Linked DNA regions of Sus scrofa. Each later gene encodes a partner of the first gene's protein in a complex. Links are inferred from orthologs where the notes say so. Each region holds a gene or a part of one and is shown on either strand. Other genes may lie near its edges.

Region 1 (6,502 bases):
TGACTTCCTCTCTGAGAATTTTTCGGAGTCCCAAGCTCCCATACACTTGCCCAGGTAACACCTGCTCACAAGGAATCCCTGAAGACATTTGTCATCAATCAAAAGGTTCCATGACACCACAGATGTTAAGGACCACCACTTGAGGACTTCCCCCATCATCTTTGGCAGCATTTCCCCAACTGTATACCCAATTCTTGATTTCAGTGGGGTTGCTGTTCCAGATTGTACTCTTTAATATTTTTCTTTAACTTGATCTGATTATTTGAATGCTTGCTTCCTCTTTTAGACTTGTCCTAGGTAACAGTATTCACGAAATGAGGGGTTGGGGTGAGAGTTACGTCAATTCTTTTTTAATCCACATTAACAAAAATATGTAATGATTTCACACGATTGAGTTTCCTCTGGGTACCACTTAAAATCATCTCATATGCTGTCAATGGGGAATACTGGTCAATGGAATGAATTTGAACTCCCTAGCATGGCTCTCAAAACTAGCTCTAACCAGGTCTTCACCTCCTGATCCCATTCATCCCCTACAGCATGGAACACTGCAATTGATCAATTAATATTTGTTGAAAGATTAAACAAATCTTTTAAGCAAAGATTAAACAAAGTCTCCTTTAGAGTAGACTGATACGTTCACCACTTCACCAAAACATTTGTCTTCTTTAGTGTATATTGTACCTTTGGATCTGTTCTTCTGACCCTTGGAAAGCTCTATCCCCTCATCTCCATTTATCCAGCTGTGACCACTCCCTGTGGGACCTCCCTTCCTCACCTCCCTACCTGGATGTTCACTCCCACCTGGGTAATTTGATTATTTACTCTCTATATCTCTCCTGTGACTTCGCCATTTATGTCCCTGTTTTTCAGTTGTCTTTATGAGTGGAAATCTTTCCAACTAGATTGTCATCATAATGATAGATACTACAGCTTAAACTCCCCTCCACACCTCTAATCTACCACGATGCTTTAAACAGAGGTAGCACCTTAAAAATATTGATTCAGTGATGATTCTGGGCATCAGACCAAATTAGTTTACAGGAATGACATTTGTCCTTATTACATCAAGTAATTGGGTGGTTGTCCCCTCTTATAGGAATGGAGGAAACCTGACACCCCTTGGATAGGACATGTGAGAGGACCAAAAATAGGGGAGTAGACTAGTTGTTCCATTAACTAGAACAATGCAGAGTAAAAGCTCGCTGTAGTGGGAGGAAGGGATTGCTAAGGAGACAAGGAAACTTTTGGTGGTGATGAATATGCTCACTCTTGGTTGTGATGATGGCTCCAATGGATGCTTACATTGGTCAAAACCTATCAACTTCTACACTTTAAATATGTGAAGTTCATTGAATGTCAATTATACTTCAATAAAGCTGATAAAGTAAATTCAGTGTTCATGTGCAAATACAATACTAGAGGGAGGCATTACATTTCAGGTTAAGGAACTAATATTTGTTGAGCAAATGCCCTGTGCCGGGTGCTTTGCAAATTGTTTCATTTAGCTCTTACAATGAGCCTATAATGCATACATTGCTACTATGTTCATGTTATTCTGGAAGAAATCAAGCCTCAATGCAGAGAACTGATTTCCCCAAGATGACAAGGTGAAATCAAAGCAGTGGTAGGAAATGAAATAGCATATTTTTCACCTTGGAAGCAGCGCTCCTTTTCCTCTGATTAGTTAGATTTGGAGGAGGTTTTGTTCCGTGTTGCTGTCTCTTAGGGAGCTGCACTGAGTCAACGCAAAGAATCAAAGAGAGACAATGTCAGCCAGCAGGATGCATGACCTCGGGCATTTTCACCCATGGATTCTGGCAGAGGTGCGGGCAGCTGGCTTGTCCCCTAAGAAGTTTGCCCTGTCCTCACTGATCATGAGAAATAAGAAGCTCTGAAAACTCCTCTTCCTGACCTGGACCATCCAAATCCTCCATAGGAGAAATGAGAACGGAAAAGCTCCTATTTTCCCCTGGGGATGTGAACATCTTCCCATCCACACCCTGATTCAGCCACCCAGGGCTCAGCATCCAAAACATCCCAGGGAGAAGGCTGATTTTCAATTCAGACTGACTCCAAAAGGAATCGGTAACTTCAGCTGGTCATTCCCATTATGTTACTAAATGTTCCTAAGTAATATTTCCAATATGTTCCTGAATATGTAACATTTTGGCAGCCACCTGAATTTTAAAGGCAAATAGTTATCCCCAGGACTGGCTAATGCCTGTTTAACATTTCCTCCAATACCTAGAATTTAAGGAATTCATTAATGGTCGCTAGCGCGTGTTCAACACTTCATAGTAAATTGAGTGTTTTCTTACTCATAACCTCTTTGAAATCACTCAACTCTGTTATGTAGGAATATTATCCCTAATTTACAGATGAAGAAATAGAGGTTCAGGGAAATTAAGCTAATTATCCACATTGACAAAGTCAGGCCTGTCTCAAAAATCCAAATCCTGTACTGTTGTTTTGCCACTGCCTTTTTTGCTTTCAAGAACATTTGGCCAACATCTACTCAAACCCCCTTTTGCACCTGGTCAATGACTATAAAAGCATAATTGGTAACTATGAAGAATTGCTTTCTTTGGACCCACCACCCATATTGGAATCGAGTATTCGATATTAGCCACAAAAATCTTGACTACTTGCATCCTATTAAACAAAGAATTACCTTGCTAGATCCTTAGATTTAGGACTTCATAAGGATCTAGGGAGGGGAAGAAAACACATTTTTCCCACTGATATCTAAGCTTGTGCTTTGCTCTTTGTAAGGACACAGAATAAGCCGGATCATTAATTGGGCCTTGCACACTTCCCGGAAACTATACACAGGGCTTCAAGGATACACACGTCACATCAAAGAAACAGAACTTTAGGAAGAATCTCGAAAACATACGTTTCCATTCTGTTTGAACACGTCTTACATCAGGTCCCAGAATGGAAACTCACCCAAAGGTTGAGGGAAACACAAACGGCCACTTTCTGTATTTTGTCTACTTTCATCATTTTCAGAAGCTGACAAATACTGTGGTCAATTAAAAGCCAAATGGAACTGAGGCCTATCTGGGAAAAGGGCAGAAGTATGGTGGTAGACTAACATTAACATCTTTTATGACCTGCCGTCCAAATTGAAAAATTTTAAAGGCCCAATGATGAGGTCAAAATGGCAGACACCCTACAACTCTGGATCAAAAGATATTCTTTAATCCCTTTTAATGCCATTTGGAAAATGAAGACGTTACAGAACACACTGTGCATTGTTTCTGTGTGTCTGTGTCCACACACACCCCTATACAGACGTTTTCACTCTTATCTGTATCCCTCCCTTGCATGGTCCATTTACCTAGTGCTTCTGAAAATGCAAAGCCAGATTTCATCAGTAAAACGTCAACCTACCTTCATTCTTGAAACTCCTAATGATGTTGGCAGAGGGCATGGAGGTCCGATCTGTGGCAAATTTATTGTAGAGTTCCAGCATGTACTCGGGGGGGTCGACCTTGGCTGAGTCCTGCATCGGGATGTCAGACAGGTTCAATGTCTTGAGAAACTCGTTCTTCATGCTCTGGAGCAGGCTGTTGAAGTCGACACCATCTTGCTCCGAGAAGACATCGTCAAAGAGTGGCATATCTTCTTCCAGAGGCGACTGCTCCAGGCTCATGATGGGGCTGCCAGAAACCCAGGGAGCCACCAGGCAGGAGAGCGCGCACAGCTGTAGGGCCAGGAAACCCATAGCTCTGCTCGAGCCCCCAGGCCAGCCCAGGAAGGTTTAGCGCTCCTGGGCTCTAAGTGGCAGTTTTATCTTGCAGAGCATAAATGTCTCCTGTCACTGGAGACAAGTTTGGAAACTTCCCTTCTCTCTCCCTCCCCCCGCCACTCTTCCCACACACACCCCCCAACACCAAAAGTCAGGTTGCAGTAATTGGATAACAAAATCCCCCATAGGGGCCTAGCCTTTCTTATCTCCCTAGTGTAAACTTGTGCACCAGATTTTGTTTCTATCTTGCAATCCTTTTTTCTTTTAATGAGCATTTTGTAAACATTTCCACATTCTGACACTGGCTGAGAGATAGGACAGTTTTCTTCTTGCAAAGGCTCTGCTTCTCCTCCTTTGAATCCACTTCCTTTTGGCAGAAGCACCTACATTTTGCTTTTACATGGTTCAGTGTCACACATGCAGATAATAGATATTAAGAATCGACATAATGCACATGGGTGGCGATACGGTTTAATGCAAGTGAGGGGCCTTTCATTCTCACATAAATCTCTCCGAAGAAAGACCAAATCTCCAGCGTTTTCAAGTTAAGTTAATAGATACAAATGAACTTACAGAAATCTTTAACCGCTGACATTATTAGAAAGAAGAGAGTAAAAACTTTGTCATCAATAGCCTTTTTTGTACAGACTTGATCTGGCTAAAATGGCTTTTGAAAAATAGGGCAAGTGCTTCATTATTACAGCAGCTAAGATTTATTAGGTGCTTTCCTACGAACAGGCAATGTGCTAAGTACTTTGTATATATCGCCAAATGTGCTTCCTATAATGACACTATTATTATCCCCATGGCATACATCGGTCACTAAGTTTCAATATGTTGCCAGAGGTCACAAAGTGACAAAGTGATGGAGCCAGGATTTGAATCCAGGCAGTCTGACACTTATGAAACAAGAAAACAATCAGACCTTTGCTTTTTTTAGGGCCGTACTTGCGGCATATGGAAGTTCCCAGGCTAAGGGTCGAATCAGAGCTGCAGCTGCCGGCCTACAGCACAGCCACAGCAATGTGGGATCCAAGGCTTGTCTGTGAGCTACACTGCAGCTTGTGGCTACACCAGATCCTTAACCAACTGAGCAAGGCCAGGGATCAAACCTGCATCCTCCTGGATACTAGGTGGGTTCATAAGCTGCGGAGCCACAGTGGGAACTCCCAGCAATCAGACCTTTTAACCAGTGTTCCCTGGGCTATAGCTCCAGCCCAGCCTTTTGCCCGGGCACCCACAGTTAGGAGAAGACAGGCAATAGCGTGTGGCTGGATGTGGACCTCAGGTCCTTCACTGGAATGACGAATTATTAAGATCACCAAAATCTCTGCTAAAGCCATCTTTACGGTTAAATCAAATTCATCACATGGCTTCAGTGAAAGCTTGGCAAACAACATATTAGGCAGGTGAAAAAGGCCAAAAGCTTTGATCTGAAAAACAGTGGTGGAATTGTGTGTCTGGTGCAGGGAAAGACACACCAAGGTCATCTCACTTTTCAACCCTCATTAGTGGCTGTAGCCTCAGAGTGTGTCAGGATGGTCCTGTGGACAACTTCGGGGGCTGTTTCTCCCGCTGAGCCTCTGGGCCTGGTGTCTCCCTGACTTGTTTAGTGCATATGCCCTTGTGCTGTGCTCAGAGGGCTGTGAGCTATATATTTGGTGCACCTGAATATTCTTTTAGTTTCTCAGTTAAGTTTTCCTACATTTACCCCAATAGGATAACTACAGCAACTCCATTTTCCTTTTTTGTCTTCTATACTCCCTAAGGTTTATAGTCATCTTCTGATTCTTCCTTCTCCTAAAATGCACATTTTTATAGCAATTTTTTGAACTACCAGAAATAGGGCTGTATTTTCTTACAATTTTGTTGGAGTATAGTTGACTTACAGTGGTGTCTTAGTTTCAGGTGTATGACAAATTGAATCAGCTTTATATATATATATATATATTTTATTTTATTCTGATTTAGGTTATTTTTTTCATTTTTTTCTCATATAGGTTATTACAGAATATTAAGTAGATTTCTCTGTGCTTTACAGCAGGCCCTTGACCGTTATCTATTCTATATTTTGGGGGGAGGAAATCCCTCCACAAAATCGTTCATTTACTTAATCGTTGTTGATTTGAGTCAGTGCTCTATTTCAGGGAAAGCTTCTGTTCCTTTGTTAAAAAGATGATTGCAGAGTTCCCTTGTGGCACAGCAGGTCAAGGATGCAGTGTTGTCACTGTAGTGACTCAGGTCTCTGCTTTGACTCAGGTTCGATCCCTGGCCCAGGGAACTTCCACATGCTGAAGGCGCAGCCAAAAAAAGAAAGAAAAGAAAAAAGAAAATTGTAGGCTGAAAACAGCTTATACCCTGAACAGGTCTTCAAGCGAGCGAGTCCAGGGCCATAACCCATCCTATGGGCTTTACCGTGAGGTTCCTGACAGCGTAATAGCAGGGCCCTTGTGTCATGCCCTGCATCAAAACAAGCACCCGTTTATCTTTACAAACACACACACCGATGTCAATGCACACTCCAAATCTCTGAATGGCAGGCATGTGCGTGTAACTGCCACAGGACAGCTGAATAAGTGATGGTACTTATAACCCGTGTGCACTGGTTTCAGAGGTCAGGCAGAGAGTCGGGCATCCTGCCTTTCGGAGTTCTGGTTCTGTACATTCTCAGGGGTGAGACGATCAATTGAGATTTCACTTACTCAGTGCTAGAGTAGCAATGGAGTTAAATATTCAGACCAGTGA
Region 2 (5,909 bases), on another chromosome or scaffold:
ACGGGAACTCCAAGAGCATAGTCTTTGGTTAGACTTTCTGGGCTTAAATCATAGCTTTGTCATTTACTACCTGTGTGATTTTAGACAAGTTTCTTAACCTCTCTGATCTTTATTTCATTGCCGATAAAGTAGAGCTAATAGTATTTCTTAGCTCATCATGTTGTGAGGATTCAATGCCATGTAGGTAGGCATTAAATGTTCATGCCTGACACATAGTAAGTGCTCAATAAACATTAGATATTATTGGGCACATGTAGTAGTTGGGGCCTGGGAGCAATACCAGCTTGTTTTGGCAGCTGTGGATCAACTGGAAAAAGATGTGGCTTAGGAATAGGATGAGTTTAAGTCCTGGCTCTGCCATTACTACTTGTGGAACCCTGGTTCCACTTTTCTGAGCATCAGTTCCCTCATCTGTAAAATGGGAGTAAAAATAGTACCCACTTCATCGGGTTGCTGTGAAGATGAACAGAATAATGCGTGTACAGTGTTTATAGCACAATGCCTGGCATGTATGGGAAGCTTAAAATGGAAGTAATAATAATTATTTATAAATATATTTATCGGGGAGTTCCCGCCGTGGTGCAGTGGTTAACGAATCCGACTAGGAACCATGAGGTTGCGGGTTCGGCCCCTGCCCTTGCTCAGTGGGTTAACGATCCAGCGTTGCCTCGAGTTGTGGTGTAGTTTGCAGATGCGGCTTGGATCCAGTGTTGCTGTGGCTCTGGTGTAGGCCAGGGGCTACAGCTCCGATTTGACCCCTAGCCTGGGAACCTCCATATGCCGCGGGAGCGGCCCAAGAAATAGCAAAAAGACAAAAAAAAATACATATATATATATATATATATATATATATATATATGTGTGTGTATATATATATATATATATTTATTTATTTATCATATTATGCTATCCCTCTCAGGGATAGCATAGCCAGGCAGCTAGTTTCCTGGTCCCTGGTCCAGAGGGTGGGCAGGGCTCTCTGCTGGGTGACCTTGGGTCTCCTTGGCATCCTGAGTGACTGTCCCCATTGCCTGCCATCCCCAGGCATTGTCGAGGACTACAGGCCCCCCTTCTATGATGTGGTGCCTAATGATCCCAGCTTTGAGGACATGAAGAAGGTGGTGTGTGTTGACCAGCAGACACCCACCATCCCCAACCGACTGGCTGCAGACCCGGTGAGGCCTCCAGGGGGGCTGGGATGGCATGGGGCGGTGGCCCACAGCTGGGGGTGCTGGGCCCAGGAACTTCTGTCCCGCTTCCACTTCACCTGGAGAGACTGTGGGGGACAGAGTCCAGGCTCCCTCTCTGGGGACCTCATCCTTGCCTGGGGACCTCTGGGGACCCTCTGGTTTTTCCAGGATTTCCAGAACCCTTCACCTGACCTGAAAAGTCAGAGGCTCTCTGTCACCCTTCCAGCTATGCAGTTCTTGTTATTGCTGGTTTGTCTTGTTTTTTTCTCAAAACACTCTACATACTTATATAGGACACACACACATAGAGACACATATAGTCATGCACACTCTTCTGCACAAACACACACTCACACATGCACATATCTGCCAGACTGTCAGCCCATGAAGACAAAGAGCATCTCCTTTGCTGACCTTTCCATCCCGGTTACCTGTCACAGTGCCTGGCACACAATAGGGACTCAAGAAATGTTTATGGAAAGAATGACTCAACATACACATGTATATACAGGTGTGTGTGCGTACGCACAGGCACACTTCTGCACCACATGCGGATCCACAAGAGACCACTCAGATGCATGCCTTTGCACACACACATACACTCCCTCTCAGGAACCAGCTCAAGTTCTGAGGCGGGGGTAAGGCTGAGGACCTCACTCGAGGACCACCGAGCTTCCCGGGTGGGTTCCTCCCTGGAAAGATGCATTTCGAGGGCACCCACCACCCAATCTTCCAGGGTCCACTGGGCCTGCCAGGGTTGGTGGAGGGACGGGGACCTGCTGCCTTCTGCACTGGGGTCCGGCTGCATGCAGATGGGGACATGGAGAGGTCCCCTTTCCTGGTTCTCGGTAGAGGTGGGGGTGGGGCAAGTTGTTTTGTAAACGCCAAAGGGCGTCCCTGAAGATCTGAGTGACCCTCTGCATCCTGCCTGCCTTTCTCCATCCCCTTCTCGTTCCACTCCCTTCCTCTTTCATTTTGCATCTTTCTTTCCTCATCCTGCCTGCTTCCCGCCATTCTCCCTCCTCCCACTTCTGTCTCTCCTCCCCCACCTTCTTTTCGACACACCTGCTTCCCTCCTCTCATCCGTTCTGTCCTGCTGGGGTCTCCGCCCCGTGGGGCATCCTCCTGGCCTCTTCCTTTCCATCCCCCCTGACCCCATGACTCTGCCTCCTCTCCTCTGCTTTGCTCTCCCTCCCCCCACCCCAGGTCCTCTCAGGCCTGGCTCAGATGATGCGGGAGTGCTGGTACCCCAACCCCTCTGCCCGCCTCACTGCGCTGCGGATCAAGAAGACGCTACAGAAACTCAGCAACGGTCTCCAGAAGCCCAAAGGGATTCACTAGCCACGGACCGATGCCTGAACTTCCCTCCACCGGCGGTGTGTGTGGGGTGGGCCAGCGGTGGTGACCTGTTTGGGTAGAGGTTGTGTGAGTGTGTGTGCTGGGGAGGGGGGTGCCTGTCTCTGGGCAGCTGTGCCCGCCCGCCCGCCCGGCTGGCCCCCAGCCCATCCAGCCAAAAATATGGCTAGACTGAAACCCGATCCCCCCGCCGTCTGGCCCTCTGAAGGCAGCAGGCTCACTGACGCCTGGCTCCCTCCCCACCCCCCTGCCCTGGGTGCACCCCCACCCCCACCGCCCCCAGAACAGGATGCAAAAGAGGCTCCAGGGCCAGGGTGGCCAAGCCAGGGAATCCCAGTCCCGGACCCAGAGCCTGGACCTGCACTTTACCCCTTGTCCTCAGTCAACCCCACTGCCCCACCAGAGCTGCCGGGGTGGCACAGGGCCCCGTCCAGCCTCCGGTAGACACCCTGCCCTGCCAGGCCACAGCCTCCTGTCCAAATTCCAGACACCCAGGACCCATCCGTTTTTCTCTGTGGGTTTGTATCTCGGCTCCATGCTGCCTCAGGCCTTTATCTCCTAGCCAAGACCCCCCCACCCCGCCCCAGCTGAATGCTAGCTGCCTAGGAGAGCTGGGGCCTGATCTGGGCCCCTCCCCCACCCCCTCCTTAGCTGACTTATGGCCTTAAACCCAAGGAGTCATGCTTTGGTGTGGCGGAGTCACAGGCCAGGGGAGAGGTGGCAGGTCAGATGGGCAAGGCCCAGGACTTTCAGGGTAAACTGAGAGGACATTGAGGCCAAGCCTGGCCAGGGAAAGGCTCACCTGGGAGTCAGGTCCTAGGTGCTTGCTCTGTGTAACAAGAATGGGGCCGTTATCCCAGGACCTTTGTTCTTTCATCCACCTTTGGAAAGATTTGGTCCTGATATCCTCTGAGGTTTTTCTCGGCTCTAAAGTTCTTTAAAATTGCAGCCTATGTTAGAACTCAGTTCATCAGACCCTTGAATCCTTATGTCCAAACCCCTGGCAGTTGCCTCAAGATGGTGATTTGAGCACAACTTTATCTGAGGCCAGGAGTATCTGAAATCTTCCTAGTCTAATTTTACAAGTTCCGGTTCCTGTCTTAATCCATGCCTGAGGCCCAGGACTCAGACAACCCTGGGCCTTCTGGCAGGCAAGCCAACCCCTCTGTGGCTTCCATTGCTCTGCCCAGGGCTGACAAGAGCTGAGGGCCAGTTCCTGCAGGGCCTCCAAGGCTCAGAAGAAATCTGGGCCCAACCAGCAAGCCTCCAGCACCCAGGTTCTTGCTCCCCACTGGCCCCTGGCCCAGGCCCACACCCTTGGCCAGGCCCCAGAAAGTGGCTGTAGAGAAACACATGGAAAGTTTAGCATTTAGAAAGGTCAAGGGCATATGTCCACGCATGGAGGTGACTCTGAACCCCAAGCGGGTGACTGCGATGGAGGGTGATGGGTAGGAGGTAGGGCCTGCAGGTTGGAGGGTGAGAAGCAGGGCTCAGGCTAAGGACAGAGCAGTCCCACACTTGGAGAGACCTGGCCTTGCAGCCCTCAGCCCGAGACAGGGTGAAGGAAGGACCCTCAGTTCTCCACAGGAGGTGAAGGAAACACAGCCTCCTCCCCTCTTGCTGTAAATGCCCCAGCACAGCCTCCTGGGGCGGCTTCCTGAGTGTCTCTTCCACCGTTGCAGTGGCACTTTCCCAGGCCTGCCTGCCAGCATTGTGCAAGGCCTGGAGGAGAAGCAGGAAGTGAAACTGGCTGAAACAGAAAGCTACATGGACCAGCTAGGTTCCCACATCAACTGGGGGGCAGTTTGCTTCCTGGCAGTTTCATGTCTTCTGGTCCCTGGAACCCACCCAGTCCAGAAATCAGGACCCCCCCCACCCCCTTGAAGGTTTTTACCTCTACTGGATCTGGGGCCAAAAGGTTCCTGAGGCTCCGCAGTCAGCCTGAAGGCAGCAGCTCCCCAAAGGCTAGAAAATCCCTAAGAGGCAGGAGGCCGGGTGATGGGGGAAGGCTGAGAGAAGGGGCTGAAAGTGGGAGAAGAGCTATGGCTCGAAGGGAAGGAGCTGTTGGTGAGAGCCGTCTGTATAATGCTGCTGGCTGAGTTCAGGACCATGTTCCACAGCCGAAATGACAGTCCCTTAACTTGGAGAGACTGTTTGTGGGAGCACTTAGCTTGTGCTTAGCCCCTAGTAGGTCCTCAATAAAGCATGGTTGAATCTGGAGCTCCTGCTGCATCTTCCCAGGCCTGTGTCTCTGCAGGGGCCTCTCACAGAGGGAACTCAAGAGGACAGGGAAGGAGAGAGTCCCAGGGTATCCTGCCTGGGCTTCGTCCTTAAGAACCAAGTCACAGCTGACACTGGCCCCTGCTTGGATCTCAGTTCCCACCAGCCCGAATCTCAGTTCCTACCACCGGCTGGGAGCCGCCAGCTCGCGGCGCCTCCGCATCGCCCTCTGCTGGCCGGGAGGCTGCCGAGCGGCCGCCTTCTGCTCCGCCCCCGCGTGGGAACCGCAGGCCTTTCCCCGCGGGGATCTCCTCGCGCCGCTGCCCGGCCTCCCCCGTGGTTCTGTTTTGTGGGCAGTGTCCCCCGAAAACCACATCTAGAAAGGAGCTGCGATCTCACTCCGAGGCAGCTTGGACCCGCCCACCTCAATTCCCGGTTCTCCATTCTCTCCTTAAAATGGGACCCCTCTCTGGAACTCAGTCCTCATTCCCCAAACGGGAAGGCGGTCACCACCCTCAGGGACCCACCTTGGCCTCCTGGATGGGCTCGGAAAGCACCTCCCCCGCTTCCCCTGGAAACCTGCGGCGGGGACACGCCAGGGAGGAGGCAGGTGCTGAAAGAAGCCAAGACGGGTCTTTTCCATTTGACTGCCTATGCCTTTGCAGTAGAGGCCCCCTTAGGGAGCTACAGAAAGGGTCCCCCAATTCGTTTTACCGCGAAGGACCTCCCCCCCCTCCCAACAGCCCCCAAGGCGCTCTCATGCCTGGAGCCTGCTACCCACTTCCCAAGCCTATGTCCATGGACCCTCACACAGACCGTGCCCTTCACAGAAGACCTCTTAACACCAGCTCCGGGGAAGTAGCGAGCCTGGCATCCCTCAATGACGACTTTCTCCCTCCTCCTGTGTCTGCCAGACCCTGGTCTGGTCTTTCCATCTCCATCCTGATGTCCACCCTTTGGTTGGAGTGTGGGCAGAAGGGCAGTAGGAATATTGCGGAAAAGGAATCTCAAGGCTGGCTGGGGTCTGGGAAAGGAGCATTGGGCTTCTTGCCCTCCAGGGTTAGAACAGTCTGCAGAGGTCACCGTGTCCCAGCCCCTCCCTCCATGTAGAGCCTCAGGGAAACTGCCTGCCTTTGAAAAAAG
Region 3 (4,619 bases), on another chromosome or scaffold:
ACAATGGGGTACAAATTTTCTAGTAACTTACCCTTCCCATGTGTCACAAGACATTTTTACTAATATGGAACCTTGCCATAAGGTATGTCAACATTTCTATAATACAAGCCATTCAAGCAAGGGGCTACTGATTTATGACAGCCGAATCCCTTCAGCCCATTTCGTAGTCTTTGTTTTTTCTTTCTTTTTTTTTTTTTATAAGTGCTATCAGTCTAAACAATCTTTTTTTTTTTTAGGGCCGCACTCACAAAATATGGAAGTTCCCAGACTAGGGGCTGAATTGGAGCTGCAGCTGCCAGCCTATACCACAGCTCACAGCAACTCCAGATCCTTTAACCCACCGAGTAAGGCCAGGGATTGAACCCATATCCTCATGGATAGTAGTCGGGTTTGTTTCCACTGAGCCACGACGGGAACTCGGAGAAGTCATTTTGTATAATGATGACTGTTAAAGATTTTGGTGAGCTCTTCTATATTGCATTATAATCCTTCTAGGGCCATAAACCAAGTATCAAGTTGCTAGAGGCCCCACAGCACAATGCTATAGGCACATGGGAGACTCAGCATATAACTCCTAAAAAAAAAAAATGACATTAAAAACCATGAAGAACTTTATAGTTTCTTGTTTTATTTATTTTTTTTTAGAGCTGCACCTAAGGCATATGGAGTCCCCAGGCCAGGGGTCCAATTGGAGCTACTGCTGCTGGCCTATACCATAGCCACACCAACGCAGAATCTGAGCTGCATCTGAGACCTACACCACAGCTCAGGACAACGCCAGATCCTTAACCCACTGAGCCAGGTCAGGGATCAAACCTGTGTCCTCATAGGATACTAGTCAGATTCATTTCTGCTGTGCCACAAACTGGAACTCCTATGGTTTCTTTATATTGACTTTTCTGAATTTTCTATGGACTTTTTAATAAATACTAATATGCTCAACAAAGTTTCAAAAGTGATACTGGCATCATCTTACTTGGATTGTTTAAACTGGTCAGTACTTTATCTCAACTATTCATAGTAAGTATGTGAGTTGCATTACAAACCAGCAGTTACATAAGACAAATTGCTAACTATTCCAATTATTGTGACATTATCTTTTAAATTATAAACAACAAAATTATTTGTTTTATACAACATTTTAATTACTTCTGAAGTCCAACCAAATGGCTTATTTTATTTTTTGCTTCTTTCAGGGCTGCACTGCAGTATATGGAAGTTCCTAGGCTAAGAGTCAAATCAGAGCTGCAGCTACTGGCCTATGCCGCAGCCACAGCAACACCAGATCTGAGCCATACCGGCAACCTACACTATAGCTCATGGCAAGGCCGGATCCATAACCCACTGAGCAAGGCCAAGGATCAAACCTGCATCCCTGCATACTAGTCAGGATTGAAACCTGCTGGGCCACAATGAGAACTCCCAAATGGCTTATTTTATTTTGAAAAGTAATATAAAATAATTGCTAGTTGAAACATAATCTGTTTCTAACTAAGTAGTTACTTAAATGGTCCCAAAAGATTACACAATCCCTCCACTTACACTGCAAACTGCTGCCATCAAGGACATTTGTGGCTGAAAGATCCAGAGAATTAGGCCTCTGTGCTCTTCTGGGCTTTGACGGTGCAGGGTCTGCTACTGTGCTTGGAACACCCTGTGTAAGACCTTCTTGCTCTGAACATGGATTGCTGTTGTTGTTATTGGAATTAGTTCGGCCGCCTTCCAGTGGTCGTTCCCTCCTGTCCACCAGACGATCCAGAACACCTTCATCATGGCCAGCCTGTTGCTCTCGTCTCAGTAATGGTTCATGCTCATCAGGACTGGAATTAATATTCAGCCGGGTGTCCTCACCAATGAATTGATTCTGCAGCATTTCTTGGGTTCTATGTGCCACTGTGTTGGCTGTCTGGCCAGACGGAACTACCCCATTGACATACTGGGTAGTGGCAGCATGAGAGTTAATGCTGTGGTTTCTACCTGCCACACCATTCATGGTGACCGTCACCACATGAGGTTCTGCAGCATTGATTGTATTCATCTTGGCAACTCCAGTTTCTACTTGTTTCAAGTTTGATTTGTGCTTGCTGCCAAATTTCAGCCGGGGCTCCTTTGTTGAATTTTTGGTGTTCAAAGGCAAACTAGTAGGTCTCTTAGGAAGGTTCTGTTGCTTGGGGAGAGGATAGATCTGAGCGGGTGGGACATCAGGAATTAAACATGCTTGGCCATTTGCAGCCTGTGCGAAGTCCTGCTGTCCTGTCACTTCTACTGCAAGCTTTATGAGTGGGTAAAGCAAGCTAGAACTGGTACTGCTCAGGGGATCTGGCCCACTAAACTGTTTAAGAGAATGTTCCATGAGATTCTCATCAGAACTTTCTTTGAGGTTTTTATCAACTTCTTTTGGGTCCAGCTTGTTGGTCTCCAAGTCTTCTTCTGTCAGTTGTAAGCAGACGGGGGTTGGCCCGATTGGCTGTGAGACATTTGTGGCATGCAGATTTGCTTCATCTGAGTATGGCATCTCAGATATAGTGGTCATGCCGGTGCTTGGAGTGAGGCCAGTGGTGTTTGTGGTTGTAGTGTTGGTAGACAAGCTGGTGACACTTGTTTCAGGGCTGGGGATTCGAGCTTGTGCTTGCTGCCGTTCATAGTTAATTGAATTTCGGTTCTTTTCCCCTAAAGTCAAAGGTGTGCTGGACATTGAATGCTCAGAGGAGATATTCTTCACAATGCTGTCAGTGTGATGGATCGAGTCTTCAATGTATGAGGAAGAAGAATAATCTGGATAAGGGCCAATCTTTGGCACACGCCTGTTGTGGGATAGGTTGCTTAAAGAAAGAAAAAAGTGCCATGTTGAGAATGTACATTTATGACAAACTGACTCTCAGAGTTTAACACCTCTGATTTTAAAGAATAATTTGCTTTTAATTTTATTCCTAACCCACATTATTCTAAAGGTTATTTAATAATTCTAATCAAACAATCAAATGTCATTTAATACCTTGCTAAAGGCTAGTTTTGTATGATTTAAGCCTACCAAAAAGCCTATATGGATCTAGACATGATTTATATATATACTTATTCTTTAGGCTTATAAAAGTTATTTAAAAAAACTCCCCTATAGTTTTGTAACATTAGCAAATATACCTTTATGAATTGAATACTTGCACAACAGACATAAAAGTTCCATGAGAGGAGTTCCCATTGTGGTTCAATGGTTGACGAATTCAACTAGGAACCATGAGGTTGCGGGTTCGATCCCTGGCCTCGCTCAGTGGGTTAAGGACCCGGCGTTGCTGTGAGCTGTGGTGCAGATCGCAGATGCGGCTCAGATCCTGCGTTGTTGTGGCTATGGCTGTGGCTGGCAGCTACAGCTCCCATTAGGCCCCTAGCCTGGGAACCTCCATATGCCGTAGGTTGCGGCCCTGAAGAGGCAAAAAAAAAAAAAAAAAAAGTTCCATGAGAGAAGGAAACAAGGCGTGTGTCTTTTACATTTCCATAATTCTAAATATACAACTGCTACTCAACAAATATGTTACCAACTAAGTTCCAAATAGTAAAAAGAACATAATCTTTTAGGTTGTTTCAAAGTGCTACATTAAGACGCATAGTCTAGCAAAGGAACTTATCTTCCTAAGGTAGACCGAACCATTATCAATGAAAGTCTTAGAGCCTTAGGGTATAAGGCAGAATGTGACACTCAAAATAAAAAAATAAATAAATAAATAAATCAAAGATATAGAACTGCTCTCCAGTTATCAAAGGTTCTTCCCTGTTATTGTCACATCTTGAGAATGGTGGTTCTTAAACATCACACTATAACATATTTGCTTTAAAAAAAAAAAGCCAGGCCAAGATATGGAAAAAACCCAAGTACCCACTGATAGATAAATAGACAAAAATGTGGTATATGCCCAACAGAATATCAGCCATAAAAAAGAATGAAATCTTTCCATCTGTGACATGGATGGATCTAGAATGTATTATGCTAAGTGAAATAAGTCAGACAGAGAAAGACAAATACCATATGATTTCACTTGTATGTGGAATCTGAAAACCAAACCAAATAAAACTAAACAAACAGAATTACAGATACAGAGAACAAACAGGTATTTGCCAGAGAAGAGGGGGTCAGGGAAGGGAGGAAATAAGTGAGAAATGTTAAGAGGTATAAAATTCCAGTTGCAGAATACATGAGTCATGATGACATACACACTCTAAGGAACAGAGTAAATAACTATGTAATATCTTTGTAGGATGATATACCGTAACTAGACTCATACTGGTGATAATTTTTGAAATGTATAGAAATACCAAATCACTATGTTGTGTAACAGGAACTAACACAGAGTTACAGGTCAACTGTACTTCAAAACCAAACAAACAAACTCATAGAAAAAGAGATCAGATTTGTGGTTACTAGCAGCAGACAGTGGGGATAAGGTTACTAGCAGCAGAGAGTGGGGATAAGGAGAACTGGATGAATGCAGTCAAAAGGTACAAACCTCCAGTTACAAAATAAATGAGTACTAGGGATGTAATGTACATGACAAATTTAATTAACACTGCTGTATGTTATATATGAAAGTTAACAGAGTAAATCCTAGGAGTTCTCATCACAAGTG

What was found.
Region 2: the proteins of BMP10 (region 1) and ACVRL1 are in contact, whole or in part, in a crystal structure (PDB 6SF1), measured with the Homo sapiens proteins. The link is inferred for Sus scrofa from reciprocal best matches to the Homo sapiens genes BMP10 and ACVRL1. Residues at the interface, in NP_055297.1 of Homo sapiens: Tyr322, Asn357, Tyr358, Pro359, Ala361, Glu362, His363, Pro366, Thr367, Lys368, Ile371, Leu375, Leu378, Lys379, Ser381, Lys386; in NP_000011.2 of Homo sapiens: His40, Val54, Val56, Arg57, Glu58, Glu59, His66, Gly70, Asn71, Leu72, His73, Glu75, Leu76, Phe84, Val85, His87.
Region 3: the proteins of BMP10 (region 1) and BMPR2 are in contact, whole or in part, in a crystal structure (PDB 7PPA), measured with the Homo sapiens proteins. The link is inferred for Sus scrofa from reciprocal best matches to the Homo sapiens genes BMP10 and BMPR2. Residues at the interface, in NP_055297.1 of Homo sapiens: Tyr329, Lys333, Asp338, Ser339, Trp340, Ile342, Ala343, Pro344, Pro345, Gly346, Tyr347, Glu348, Glu395, Pro396, Ile397, Ser398, Ile399, Leu400, Leu402, Val407, Tyr409, Phe411, Ala417; in NP_001195.2 of Homo sapiens: Asp38, Ser64, Tyr67, Leu69, Lys81, Cys84, Trp85, Ser86, Ile88, Gly89, Asp90, Pro91, Gln92, Glu93, Thr103, Thr104, Pro105, Pro106, Ile108, Tyr113, Phe115.

Annotation. Positions count from the first base shown.
Region 1 is NC_010445.4:73,517,219-73,523,720, reverse strand, and holds the start of BMP10 (bone morphogenetic protein 10), read right to left. Parts: upstream 3,818-6,502; 5' UTR 3,734-3,817; coding exon 3,400-3,733; intron 1-3,399. UniProt on the Homo sapiens protein: Required for maintaining the proliferative activity of embryonic cardiomyocytes by preventing premature activation of the negative cell cycle regulator CDKN1C/p57KIP and maintaining the required expression levels of cardiogenic factors such as MEF2C and NKX2-5.
Region 2 is NC_010447.5:17,279,390-17,285,298, forward strand, and holds the end of ACVRL1 (serine/threonine-protein kinase receptor R3), read left to right. Parts: intron 1-1,044; coding exon 1,045-1,175; intron 1,176-2,396; coding exon 2,397-2,531; 3' UTR 2,532-4,766; downstream 4,767-5,909. UniProt on the Homo sapiens protein: Type I receptor for TGF-beta family ligands BMP9/GDF2 and BMP10 and important regulator of normal blood vessel development. On ligand binding, forms a receptor complex consisting of two type II and two type I transmembrane serine/threonine kinases.
Region 3 is NC_010457.5:106,126,947-106,131,565, reverse strand, and holds part of BMPR2 (bone morphogenetic protein receptor type-2 precursor), read right to left. Parts: intron 2,823-4,619; coding exon 1,543-2,822; intron 1-1,542. UniProt on the Homo sapiens protein: On ligand binding, forms a receptor complex consisting of two type II and two type I transmembrane serine/threonine kinases.